Xenopus tropicalis: one gene and its partners. The protein of the gene in region 1 binds, or shares a complex with, the protein of each later gene. Links are inferred from orthologs where the notes say so. Each region holds a gene or a part of one and is shown on either strand. Other genes may lie near its edges.

Region 1 (3,500 bases):
TTGAGAAGGAGGCCCTTGCATTCGGGGGGGTGGCGGTGGTCCTCTTGGAGCAGGCCACATCCCAGGGCTCATTCCCCCAGGTTGTGTGAAGGGAGGGCTTAGAGTTCCTTGATCTTCATTGAACTGAGGCAAAGAACTAGGATTATAATGATGAGGAGGAGGAGCATTAACTGGTGGACCACCATGTTGTGGTGGCGGAGGTCCTGGAGGAGGATGATTCATGTATGGTGGGATTTGAGCAATTATATGTCCCGGTGGGGGTGTTATTGGTGGTGGAGCAGTTGTCATTGGTGGTGGAGGACCTTGGCTGTAAACCATGTGAGGTGTCCCAGCTGCCTGAGGAGGGTGTTGCATTGGATGACTGATTGGAGGGGGTGGTGGAGGGGGTGGAGCATAGTGCTGCTGTGGAGGCATTATATGGTGAGGATGAGCCACCACTGGTTGGCCTGGATACTCTGGATGATGTAGAGTAGGACCAGGTGCCTGAGGAGTTTCTCTGGCACCAGAATTGGAATCATCCTGAATAGGCACTGTGATTAAGTTGCTATGCTGTCTAGTAGATATCCTGAAAGCATCCTGATTAACAGAGCGGGGTGGAGGCGGGGCTAAGGAAATTTCTGCTGGAGAGGGCCGAATATCATCATGTTGTTGACTGAAATGCTCATGAGGAACATGTTGCATTGGGGGAGGTGGCATCAATATATGTTGTTTTGGAGGCATATGACTTAGATGATGCTTATCTGGGGGCATTATAAAGCGATCTGGGATTTCTGCTGGGGGTGGGGCCAAAGGAGGATGGATTGGCTCAGGCTGAGGTCGGGCAGTTGGCTTGGTAGCTCTCATGTGACGGTGGTTAATGTGTGCCTGCAGATCTCTTTGAGATAAATATGTTCTCTTGCAACCTTGCACAATGCTACACATGAAGAGAGAGCCACGTGCACACTGCTCAATGCGTTGAACGGGATCATTGCAACTGAAAAGGAAAAAAAAAAAAACAGAAGTTTCTTAATGCTGCTTGGAAACATACTAATATTCACATCGATGTCCTATTTGAGACATTTTCTTAATGAATGAAAATCTTCCTCAAATTAATTTAACGTAAGATGAAAAAAATATTCCAACCTAGTATGAAAATTTCCTAGTTTTAAAAGTAAAGAGGCATATTTACTACAATTAAAATTGGGGATTTCTAAATGAAACCCCAGCAAATTAAACTTTATCAGAGTTATTTAAATTATTTGAAAGACAAAGCCACCAAAACCTTCAAATTATCGCCAGTTGGGGCTTATAATAAATTACAATTGCATATGCAATGTCATAATTTACCAGAACTTTAAATAATGCATATATAATTGCATATGCTGCCTCAAAAAGATAGGCATTGACGCAATACTCTAAAAACAGTCATGCAGTTACATCACATCATAATTTAATGGCTGCAAGAGTTTTAACGGGCAAAACCATCTAGAAACATTTAAGACTACAATATTGATAGAAGCTAAATGATTTGCCTTTAGAAACCTACCAAATGATGGAACATTAAAATAACTTAGGTTGCCAAGTTCTTAAGTAGCCCCCAGCAGTTCCAAAAAAAAAAAAAAACCCATCTTCAAAAAACATACCAGCCTGGAGCACAGTCCTCCAAGAATTGGAGGATCTACGAGATTTAAAGAAAATTGCAACTCGGCACTTGGTAAGTAGTGCCCAAGGCTGTGCTTTTTTTTTTTTGAAGAAGAAGAAGTGCCAGTCAGGGTAGCAGGTAAGCAACTGGAATCACTATGGGTGATGATGCAAACTGTATAAAGTTAATGGGCAGGGTCTCTTGCTCCTATTTACCAACATCTTGTGTCCGTTGCCAGTACTCCTTTGAATCTGTTGGAACTATATGCTTGAGCAGTAAAGTAAAAATCTTTAACTCAACTACTCATACTAAAAGGTCCAGCATAGCCAAAGGCATCGTTAGCACGAGACTTAGGCATTTTACATTTTAGGCATACCTGTGCAAGTGTGAAAGATGGGCAATCATATCCATAAGTGCTCAAGCTAGCAGAAGAAAGTTGATATCTGATGCACCACATTTCCAGCATGCATGCTGTATCTGCAGAATAACTATTTTTCAAACCACACTGTTGCCTTACGGTATCTTAGTGCTTATCAGATGTAGGAAATAGTCTCAGTCTGCATCAAGTTGAATCAGACCTAGTCATTTACATAGCATGATAAACAGCTACACTAAATCACAAAAGTGTATCCCTGTGGGTGAATAAACTGTTTAGGTTGCTAAGCCATAATCTGTCTCTGTTTAGCTACAGAAAAAAAGTAGTTAATTGAATGGATACAGAAACATACATTGTTAAACATCAGGTAAATTCTGAGGAAAACTCAAGTTTTTTAAATTCCTATTCCAGCTTTGATTTTATCAGTAAAGCCGTTCCAGATCAGTAAAAAAAACTAATTGCAAAATTTACCTAATGTTGGGCTGCATGTTTTATATCTTTTAAGTGTCAACATGCGGAAGGATGTGCATCAACTACGCTAATACTGATCGATATAAGAAATAAAGACAGCCCTTTTCATTAAGAGCTCACAATTGCAAAGATTTGAGCTTGCATCTATTTCAGCATCACTTTCTTTTTCTCATTTAACAGAATACAACCTTGAACCTTTAGTTATTGCCAAAGCACCAAACCTATCCCAACAATTATTAAAAGTAAAATCGCAATAACAAAATGTATGGGATCTCTAATTTGTAAGGTAGAGAAAGCTCCGAACAACAGGTCATGTCTCATACACTCCATGTATAGCAAATAGTTACTTTTTTTTCCCTTTCTTTTTGCAATAAAAATGTCTTGTTCTTGATTACATCTATGATAACATTAATCCATATTAGTGGCAAAACAACCTTATTGGCTTTAATATTAAAGTTATTCTTTACGTATGGTGATCCAGTTCACAGAGCCAGAAAACCCCAGCTTTTGAGCATTCTAGAAAATAGGTACCATACTTCTTGCCCAACTAAACTATTGCAATATATCAGTTTCAGTGAACTCATATAAAGAACCAGTGCTAATCAACAATAAAAAGAGCAATCCAGAACATTGCTATTTTAAAGCTTTCAAAAGTTTTTCAGGATGAAACATGTTTTATGCATAATAAAAAACAAACTCTGCTATATTTTTAAAACAAAAAGATTCCTTGCTCATCAGGAATTAAATGTAATCACGCTCATAAAATTACAACAAAATCATCCCCACATTCTGTGTGGCAAGGCTGTTCTTAAGTAAGTTGAGGTGTTAACATCAAGAAATGTAGCTCATCAGCAAATATGCTGCAATATTTTTTTGGGGAAAAAAACATTCCTAACCATATCTTTGCAGTTACTTAAGAAATTGCTAAACTATTAGAACCTACCTCATACGCTTAAAGGTGTCAGTACTTTCTTCAACAAGTGTTCTTTTGGGAGGGGAAAAAGAGACATTACACCACAAAATAAAAAAAAA
Region 2 (3,500 bases), on another chromosome or scaffold:
AAAGAAGATCATTGTGAGAATCTATAAAAGTATAGGTCACTTTTTTATTGTATATTGGTTGACGTTTTTATATTGTTACTGCTGTCATTCCGGCCCAACTGAATTGACATAAGGACTTGAGAGGCCCTCTAGAGGGTACATATTGTTATAAGGTACTAATGTTGTAAAGTCAGCAGCATTTAAACTAATACTTTTTTATGCGTACCAGACTTAGGAAACATTAGTAGTAAATTAGTAGTAAAGAACCCCTTTGTACAAGAAAGTACTATAAGTACTGTAAAAACTTAACTTGGGGGAATGTCGGAATTAGCACATCCCACACCATGCTTTATTCCACACAGTTACATATCAAGGTAGTTGCTTTGGAATGCTTTACTTCTCTTGCAGGCCTTGTTTTTATTAATTATGTGGAGCAAGTATGCTCCTCATATGGAAGTCACCAAGAATAAAAGATTTCTTATTTGCTGCACAGAAACCCAGTTGTGTAGTTTCTTTAGTAGTAGAGACGTTTTACTATTTACACCTGCACACAGCTGTCAGTCTTATATTGATTGAGGAAAGATACCACAATAGTATAAATGTGTTTATTTGTTTAACAGATCGTCAGGATTCAAGAAGTCACAGTTCCAGAAGAAGTTCCCCTGAATCAGATCGTCAGGTGCATTCCAGATCTGGGTCATTTGACAGCCGGGAAAGAGCTTCCGAAAGAGAGCGTTACGAATATGAGAGAGAGCGTGACAAGGACAGAGAGAGAGAAAGGAGAGTTGGAAGACAGAGGGAGTGGGATCGGGAAGCTGATAAAGAATGGCCAAGAACCCGAGACCGTGACAGGATAAGAGAAAGAGAGCGTGAAAGAGACAGGAGGAGTGACATTGATAGGGAACGTGAGAAAGTTCTTCCTGACAGTACAGAGAAAGAACGAGTACGCCTTCTTGATATGCCACCCATTGCTGAGCCAAAACGTACTGATCTAAAGGAAAGGGACCTGGACAAAAATTATGATAATAGCAGCCGAAATATTTCAGCTGTGGATAAAATAGACCGAAACCCTGAAAACTCGCAGGATATCAGCAATAGCCGTAAAACTGAAAAGCCAGAGAGCTTTGATGGTAAGATTTTTTTATTATATCTTAAATTTTATTAATGTAAATTTTTTAATGAACCAATTAATATCTTTGCCCTTTTGCACACTAATGGCTTTTCGTAGAACAATTAGTGATTAATATAAGACACACATGTAGTGCAAAACACCAAATACACTTTGCAGTATATGATACTGCAGTGTGAAAACTACATTTGCCGTCACACACATACATTATATTTTTAAGCAAAAGTTTCCAAACTTCAACAAGAGTTGTTTGGCTTTCTTATGTAATGCGGCTGTTTTCTATGGGAGTAAAGTGGCCACTGTCAGTCATGCACCTGCATATGGACAGCTATTTTGGAATTGCTATTTTTCATGATATAGTTATTTATACCAGAAAAATATTTTATCTCAAACGTGCCAATATCTGAGAATTTTATGGAGATTTCTGTAGATCAAACACTCCCAGCAAATATTCAAAATATTGCAAACTTTAGATTCCAAAGCAAAAAATCTTGGAACATTAGGTTTATCCCAGGAAACCATATATTTTTGAAATGTGCACATTCTGCCGAATTCGAAATGGGTAACCATGTCTTTCTATTCCTTAGTACCAAACTACTAGAAATACTTTTGTGAACTTAGCAGTTATTATGAAAATTCTGAAAGATTGCCTCAAACCATCCACTTACAAGCATCTTATCTCCCACATAGCATTAGGTACCAAGAAAAAACCTCCTAATTAAGAAAGCCAAGGGTCCATTAAACATTTTGATGCCCATTATGCATAGGATTATTAAAGTATTTGGCATTTAGAGACCCAAAAATGAAGTTAGTGCATACATATTTCATGGCATATATTTCTACTACCAAAAAAAACCCTCAACTGATTTATGTGTAATAAAAGTGGCAAATAAGTAAGTTGACCCCAGAAAACTTTATATTTTCACAAAATACATATTCTTCCGAATTTAAAATGAGTAAATATATATTTGTATAGCAAAGCTAAGCTAAATGTAGCAGTTTTTATGTAATTTCTGAAAATTGTCTCAAAGCTTGCAATTTACCCTATTATATACCCCACATTTCGTAATGTAATAACATAAAACATTCTAAATATGAACGCCAGTTGTCTACTGAACAGTTTGATGCCCAATATGCATAGATTTAGCAAACTGTGGCATTCAGAGGCACCCAAATCAATATACAGGAGACAAAATTTCCATGGGCAAAAACAAGTAACAAAACAATGTGGAATGCAATAAAATAGCTAAAATCCAATAAAACCACTAAAATCAATGTCCCCCCCCCCCCCCCCCAACTTAGAAGTAATGCAGAACATAGAATCTACAATCTGTGGCAATTAGGTACTTTTAGTGACACAGAACATAGCATTTGCATTCTGTGGATTTAATGTAGGTTTAATGTTTATGCAGGCTAGTTCTTATGGCGAGGGCAGACAAAGCATTAATCCGCTTCTGTACGCAGCTCAGTGTGCGTGCATTAAAAGTTATGGCAACAACCAGAGTGTTCGCAGACAAAGCGGTGCGGATCAGCGGCTGGCCTGGAAAATACTAGCTTTTGCAGCTTTCGGGATTTTTAAAATTTTTTTTATAATTTTAGTTTATTGTAAGGAATTGTATACAGACAAGGCAGTACATCTAGGGGTATATTTATCATGCTGAGTAAAAAGTGGACTGAAGCATTACTGGTGATGTTGCCCAACAAATCAGCAATTAGATTTCAACAGTTAGAAAACTAAAGCAAAGCATCTGATTGGCTGCTATGAGCAGCATCACAGGTAATGTTTTTTACTTAACTTTTTACACAGCATAACAAATACACCCCTTAGAGTGTTCATTGTGTTCAATAAAGATTAAGTGTGGGGCTTAAGGAAGGAGAATTATTTATGTGCATGCACCTGCTTGGTATGAGGTTGCCGCTATGATCAAAAGAAGAGAGGGGGAGAGCTGATTAACACTGCTTTTTGGAACGCGATTCAGTAAGGGGCTGACTATAGGCAATGTTGAAGGTATTTCAAGGTAGGGAGGGGTCAAATATAATTTTGTTTAGCTGTCCATGTCATGTAGTACACACATCCAGAGGGGTTTAGTTCTCCTTTAAGTGCATGTGTCTTGTGAAGTTCTTCTCTTGGCCTTGCATTGGCACACACGCATAAAAAAGAAAAACATAAAACAAACAAGCCCTGCAACCACATCACATGTACAGGCTTTATGCCTTTTTATGGAACCATAATTGTTTGGCCCTCTGCTAAACAAATTGTTAAAAGGAAAAAACTGCATTAAAACGCAAAAAACACTAACTCAAAATCGTCATTGCTGGAATTTAAGTAAGCGCTCAGATACTGCAGAACTAAGGAAGAGGCTCAAGAGAACAAGCTTCTACCATCTCTACA
Region 3 (3,500 bases), on another chromosome or scaffold:
CCAAGTATATCATCTCCATTTATTTTATAGGAGTCCCTAGAGCCTAGGCATTCTGTTCTGACACACTGTAAAGCAGAGCCTCCATGAAAGGGTAGATTCAGGGAACAGGCAGAAATAATTTAACATGAGTACAAATATGATGTAAGAAATTGCAACATTTGTAGGGGGGAACACATGGCAATAAACACACATTGCATTCCCATGACATACCAGATATGGAATATATTTAAGAAACAGATTGTAAATTCACAGAATGTAATGTGAATGTATTTTTGTCACAATAAATAAGTTGCAAGAAAAGTGACACTGTGTATATTAGCTACTTTGTGACATGCAACTCAGCAGCACTAAGCATATCAGACTTGTGATTCCATCCTCCGAGGATATCTGGTGTAGTAAATATAGAATACAGAAGCACACTGCAATAACAGAGAATGTGAGTTACAAAGGCTGTGTGAACCAGTGTAAAGCCAAAATATAATAAATAATAAAAAGCAAGAGAACACAAAAAACTGGGCTCAAAGGATGTACCAAAATATGGTGCTCCCATATGAAAAAGTGACTTCAATAACGTATTCCACGTATTCCATGTTTCTATTAAAGTAGGGTAGAAATCTAAAATATGATCTAACAAAAATGTTCATTGTGCCGAAACTCAATGTCTGAATACAAGCGCAGTTTGTATAAATTATCCAAAACAATTATCCAATATAAATCCACTGCCATTGCAATGCATTAGAACAATTCATGGGAACTGGTTCCATAAATGTATTAAGGTAACAGTGCTGGCTTACTAATATAAACTATTCAATGCAAGGCATAAGTTCATAATTTACAAGCACAGAACTGGCTAAGAAAGAACACCAGCGTGAATATATGTGGCATGCGCAGTGGGTAAATGATTTTCTCAACCCTATCCATTTATGGGTGCTTAAGAGTTGAAGGACACTGGTGATTAAGCAGACAATGCTGCCTGGATACACTCAGATTAGACTGAGGGTTCACCTTCTCTATACAGCACCGTGGGACAGTATAGCCTTGAGCGATTTCCCACCAGTCCAATTACCAAACAGTTTCATTCACTGCAAAGATTCAGCAGCAGTGTTCTCTGCCATCTACATCAGCCATACAAACAGCTGCTTTTACATTTGCCATCCCAGGCTGCCTGTCACACGTGATTATACGTCCACTCACCTCCCTGTCGGATGTGGATACATGTGCTATAATGCAACCCCCATTGGAATTAGATAAAGGGCCAATATGGTTATCCCTGAGCCAGCCATTTTATATTGTTAGAGCACAAATATTGCATTCGCAATATATTTAATGTATTCAGCAATAGGAATGTAATCTCATTCTAGATGAAGCCTTACCTGGCCTTATAGTGCTATCCCTTCCAAAGAGGTGTAACCGTCTCCTTCCAAGGCAGAAATGCTCAATAATGTGAAAAATCTCCACTGGCTTTTCAATGTTTCCAATTTCAGGCTCCTCTGTGATGATGAGATCAATGTCAACATTTGCATGGATGAAATCTCCATCTGTGCTGCGATGAACTGTTCCCTTGATACCCATAAGGCAGTGCTCCTGCAAATAGACGTCCACAAACAGAATAATTAAAAGCTCTTGTGTGATTATAATGCTTGTACTTGTGCTAAGGAAAATGTATATTTAACAGTAAAACAGGCAGTTGTTCTTACTTTTGTTTCATTTTACAAACAAGATTTCTGTGGGGAGATCTGAAAGTGATTATTATGTACTGAGCGCAGAATCTTATTCATTTGTTTTTACTATTTCCTCAGGCAGATATCATTTTTGAAGAGTGCTTCAATTATAGGATTTAATATATGCATATATTTAACCAGTAATACATGGGAGAGAATGAAGAAGGTGCATATAAGACTTTTACTATTATAGTTAGATGAAAAATTAAGATGACTATTACCTCTTATCAAGGGCCAGACAAGTAGGTATTTGCTTGTGAAGCCTCTGTAGAATAAATATTTACAGTGGTGTAACTGCCAGGGGTGCAGCGGGTACAATTGCATCAGGGCCTGCTGGAGCCGCCATAAAGGTATATGGTGGGTGAAAGGGCTGGGGAGGAGGGAGAACCTGGGAGCAAATCCTGCACGTGGCCCACAGTACTTATGCCACTGTACACTAATGTTCTAAAGTCTAGAATCATCCAGAAAAGTTTATGATTTTTACAACATTGCGCCATCTCTGTGGTTAGCGCGTAAATGGTGCAAATTTAATAATGCAGCAAGACAGCAGTGTGAAACATACTACTGACTTATGCAAAAGCTATTCGGGGAAAAAACAGGAAAGTGGATTACTGTCTTTAAACTTGCACAATCAACTGAGCTCGTGTGGGAAGAGCTTCATCAGAAAGTCAGAGAATGCAGACTTTGATAAATAGAACAATAATCTGAAATTAAAAGGATGTTATGGCATTGTCAGTCTAATGGCTATAATTTCAACTTAATGCTGCCTCAATGAATAAAAGTAGCAATTTCTATTGAAAACATGAACATTTCTGGTGTCTAAACATATGACATAAATAACTATTCCCTTTTCCTTTCCAGTTATTGGAAAACTTCATCACAAATGTAGAAAAAAAAAAAGTTCAGAAACTTGTCTTCTGTGGGACTAACAATATGCATGTGCACTGCCAAGCAGCAGCTGAAAAGCTAGAAAAATAATTCCGCAATCCAAGACTGGTGTTAAGAAGCTTTATATTTCTTACAGATTGTGCATACATATGCATCAATATCTGGGATAGACAATGTAAGCTGCTCAAAATGGAATTATTCCTACAGGTAAATGTGTCATAGTTAAATCAAATCTCATGTAGCCAAGAAACTAAAAGTGCTATTCAGGATTGCCTGGTCTCCATTCTATAACTAGGTATGTATTGACTCTTTACTATTTATAAATATCTAAATGTGACTATATAAACATTTGTATATTTTTAAGGAAGCAGGTTAAGGTTGCTTACCAAAGACAGTCATATTAATGTATATTAATTAACATGTTTAGAAATGATCTAGGTCACACTGGCTTTCTGGGGGGCTCTGCATTTTTTGCCACCCCATGCACCCAACATATTATGCCTAAGCCTCTGCCTCACCTTGCAATGTAGCCAGTTGCAGGAGATGTGGGCCTTGAGTTTGTAATGAGTGAGGCTACAAATGTGGTCATGGTCACAAAATTTTCAGTGACACAAAAAGTACGTGTCTGTAAAACAACACTATACCTTTGTCCTCTGGAAGATTGCCTTTGGGTCTAAAGTCTTTGTTTTTCCAGGATTGTCCTTGTTTGTTTTAATCCAACAAATGTCTTCTGATCTTCTAAAACCCCATTTGCGCAAGCACTAGAGGACATTTAGAGAAGAAAATATTTTCACAGATATATTTTTAATTTTATTAAATACTCAATACACTGTTCAATCCTTTTGTGAGACTTGGGATGTCTGACTAAATGACACTAAGGCCTTAGGATAC
Region 4 (3,500 bases), on another chromosome or scaffold:
TCGCCGTGCGACAAATCTCCCCGAAATGCCATCCCACCGGCTAGAATGTAAATCGCCAGTGGGATGACGTTTCAGGGAGATTAGTTGCCCGCGACAAGGGAGATTTGTTGCGGGCTATTAATCTCCCCGTCTGTCACCACCTTTAATCATTTTATTCATAAATATGGTTAGAGATCTTGTCCTAAATATCTTTGCTAATTCACAAAGGTTGGTGCAGAGAGTAGTTCATGCACTTTTGAATGTGTAGTTAGTTGTTAAACCTTGCCACTTTAACTTCCCAGATAATTTATTCAGTATTTTAATTAGATTTTGTTTTTTTCCCACAACTAGGTGGAAGCAGTTTGAAGCATATGTGCAAGCTCTGGAAAATAAATACACAGATCTTAACTGTAAGTGGGAAATCATACTTCTTATGCATTAAAAAAAAATGAAGGTTCACATTTGCAGATGTAGCTACGTGAAGTAATACTTATGCTGCTTTTGTGCCATGTATGTTTCATGCAGAGAAATACATAGACTGATTACAGTTGTGGAGCCTTGTTTGAAAAGTAGGTTTTGTTTAGGGATACACTGAATTCATATTTTTTGAGTATTGAATACTTTTGTGTATGAAAACAATTTCTGCCTATGACTGACTTGTAATCTAAGGTTGTGATGTTAACTGGTTGGATTAGGACACCTTTCTAAAAGGTTTAAATTCAGTCAAATACAAGATCAGGTGTATCCCTAATTTTGTTAAAGGATAGTAAGCCATTTATTTTAAAAATCACATAAAATGACTTTAAACAGACCCCAAAATAACACCCCTTAATCCCTGCTTGCAGATTTATTTACTTTCCCTATTACCAGCAGCTGACCTGCACCTTTTACAGACTTCCTTGTCTAGCTTGAAGCTCTGCCCCCTTTTGCTTTTATTGAGCACTTCTCTTTACGACAATGAAGCTCAAAGAAGTGCCTACTGGGCAGGCTCACTGCCTCTGCACCAATTAAAATCAATCAGGCATACGCATTCAGCACCTTTTTGAGATTATCGTAGTCTGAGAGAGGAGGAGTGCTCAGAAAGTGGGTGAGCTTCAGACAAGGAAGTCTGTAAAAGACTAGTTGAACTGGCTGTAATAAAAAAGGCAAATCTGGATACATAGAAAAAGGTATGTTATTCCGAGGGCTGAATAGAGTAATTTTTACAGATTTAGAAGAAAAAAAAAAGTAATTCAGTTGTCAAATATAGTAATGCCTCATTCTATTACATAAATTGCATGAGGAGAAATCTTATTGTTATAGTATTTTATAGGTGTCTCTATTAAAAGCATCTATTCAAGTGGCTCAAATTATCTATTTTGTATGTTTTCTTCAATTGGCCTTTCTGGTTATCAGGGTTGAAGGAATAACCGTGTTATTGTTAATCTAATTTTTTATTGACACTGCCCTAGAAGTCTATACTTTGTTCAACCTCAGTTTAATAAACTAAACTTTTTGTTGAAATATTTCATGTTTTTTAAATTAAACAAAACTAAAATATATAGCTCTTTTACTTTCCTGCTTTTTGGTGTTTAGGAGCAACTGTCAGGTGGGAAATAAGTTTATCAACAATACCAGTCCACTGATATGTCTTCTGTTTAATGAGCTTCTCCTTACCAAATGCCTGACACAGATGGCAGCTGGGGGAATAGAGGGGTTTGTTTAAGAAGAGCTTTAAAGAAGATTTTTAAAGGAGAAGGAAAGTCATTTTGGCATTTTACTGCCAATATATTAGCCACATTAGTGCCACCTAGAACAATATATTTATTCTGCAGGAAGCTTTACCATACCTGAGTAAAGAGCCCTAGAAGCTCCCTCCGTTTGTTTAAGATAGCAGCTGCCATTTTAGCTTGGTCTTCATAGCTTCCTGCTGCAGTTGTAGCCTAAAGGAGAAATAGGTTTTTTTTTTTTTTTTTGCTTTAAAGGGTTAGTGGTCAGTGATTCCTGATAAAAGCTGGAAAGATGCAGATATGTAAGGCAAAAAAATAAAATAAAAAGACCAATTGTATGCGATTGCCTTGTCATAGGAAAAACATGGACTTTTATTCTAATTAAAAAGGTAGAAAACTGTTTAAACACAAGTGCTATTCATTATTTAGAACAAAGTGTATGTAGGTGTATAAAAGACCAACTGTAACGTATATTGATTTCAAAGACCTAAAATGTAATCTTGAAGTGAACAGTCCCTTTTACATTACACTTAAAGGTAAGCCTATTCCATTAAAATATTTTTAATGATTTCAGCTAATGATGTCACTGGACTGAGGGAGTCAGAGGAGAAGCTAAAGCAGCAACAGCAAGATTCTGCCCGAAGAGAAAATATATTGGTGATGAGACTGGCCACGAAGGAACAGGAGATGCAGGAATGCACGGTTAGTGTTGGCCCAGTTTTTTTTTTTTTTTTTTTTACTTTCAGTATAGCAATAAAGTAGACCACTTGGTTCACAGCATCAATGATGCATATTTCTAGCGTAAGTTTTTGTCATCAGTTTTCTTATTTCTGCAGTTAACATCTTGTGGGGATGAAAAACTTCTTAAAAAAAAAAAGTAGTATGTCAAAAATACTCAACTGGGCACTTTTGGGGTTTAGATTTATTTTTTCACATACGCTGACAGTGTCTACAGCAATTTAAGCATCCTCCCGAGTCATTAAATAATTTGGCTTTTTGTTATGCACCTGCAATAATTTTGCAGTGCACATCAATAAATGTTATAAAATTCACGGCATCAAAATGTAAAGTAAAAATTTCTTGTTTATTTAATCATCGCATCAACGCGTTTTGATCCTCATAGGATCGTTGTCAGGATGGGGAAGGGAAGTGAGGTGCAACCATAAATACAAAATTTATTTTGTATTTATGGTTGCACCTCACTTCCCTTCAATATCTCAAACCATTCATACTGATTATTCCTGACAATCTGCACATATATATATATATATATATATATATATATATATATATACACACAATTTTAAAATTATGTTCTTGATAGTGAAAATATTTTTCTTGTCAAGATTTGTATTGTAGGTTGACATTTTGTTTGATTAATCCTAGCCTAATGATGCCTTTACTGTCTCGTATGCTTTTCACATGTTATAGATAGGTGTATTGGGATTATGTCATGTGTGGAAGTTTAGGTGTACTGTTTCTAGTAATTTTACAAAATATTTATTTCATAGTGATTCTCATTTGCCTCTATAGAGCCAAAAAGGAGAGTCAAATGTGTTGTTAATCTCTGTATTATGTGAATATCACACATAGTAAGGAGCTGGAAGTATGTTGAGTTCCTTGCTACATCTAAAAATGCAAATAGGAAGAAGATATTCATTGATAAGTAGGAAGCATACAATTTAAACACAAGGCTTATGTAGTGGTTGGTATGTATTTTCTGTAACTCCCAGCAATTTGATTTTTAGTGCTATTTAGAGTACATTGCCTTTTGTGGTATTGCTGACATGTTTGTAACTGTCAACATTTGAA

What was found. The genes of interacting proteins can lie anywhere in the genome.
Region 2: cbll1 (region 1) and zc3h13 share a complex: the UniProt entries of both Homo sapiens proteins name them as parts of the WMM complex. The link is inferred for Xenopus tropicalis from reciprocal best matches to the Homo sapiens genes CBLL1 and ZC3H13.
Region 3: cbll1 (region 1) and mettl14 share a complex: the UniProt entries of both Homo sapiens proteins name them as parts of the WMM complex. The link is inferred for Xenopus tropicalis from reciprocal best matches to the Homo sapiens genes CBLL1 and METTL14.
Region 4: cbll1 (region 1) and wtap share a complex: the UniProt entries of both Homo sapiens proteins name them as parts of the WMM complex. The link is inferred for Xenopus tropicalis from reciprocal best matches to the Homo sapiens genes CBLL1 and WTAP.

Annotation. Positions count from the first base shown.
Region 1 is NC_030679.2:76,284,477-76,287,976, forward strand, and holds part of cbll1 (E3 ubiquitin-protein ligase Hakai), read right to left. Parts: intron 3,454-3,500; coding exon 3,412-3,453; intron 974-3,411; coding exon 1-973. UniProt on the Homo sapiens protein: E3 ubiquitin-protein ligase that mediates ubiquitination of several tyrosine-phosphorylated Src substrates, including CDH1, CTTN and DOK1. Targets CDH1 for endocytosis and degradation.
Region 2 is NC_030678.2:134,297,301-134,300,800, reverse strand, and holds part of zc3h13 (zinc finger CCCH domain-containing protein 13), read left to right. Parts: intron 1-599; coding exon 600-1,109; intron 1,110-3,500. UniProt on the Homo sapiens protein: Associated component of the WMM complex, a complex that mediates N6-methyladenosine (m6A) methylation of RNAs, a modification that plays a role in the efficiency of mRNA splicing and RNA processing.
Region 3 is NC_030677.2:70,545,136-70,548,635, reverse strand, and holds part of mettl14 (N6-adenosine-methyltransferase non-catalytic subunit), read right to left. Parts: intron 3,371-3,500; coding exon 3,254-3,370; intron 1,585-3,253; coding exon 1,374-1,584; intron 1-1,373. UniProt on the Homo sapiens protein: The METTL3-METTL14 heterodimer forms a N6-methyltransferase complex that methylates adenosine residues at the N(6) position of some mRNAs and regulates the circadian clock, differentiation of embryonic stem cells and cortical neurogenesis.
Region 4 is NC_030681.2:44,100,467-44,103,966, reverse strand, and holds part of wtap (pre-mRNA-splicing regulator WTAP), read left to right. Parts: intron 1-330; coding exon 331-389; intron 390-2,262; coding exon 2,263-2,390; intron 2,391-3,500. UniProt on the Homo sapiens protein: Associated component of the WMM complex, a complex that mediates N6-methyladenosine (m6A) methylation of RNAs, a modification that plays a role in the efficiency of mRNA splicing and RNA processing.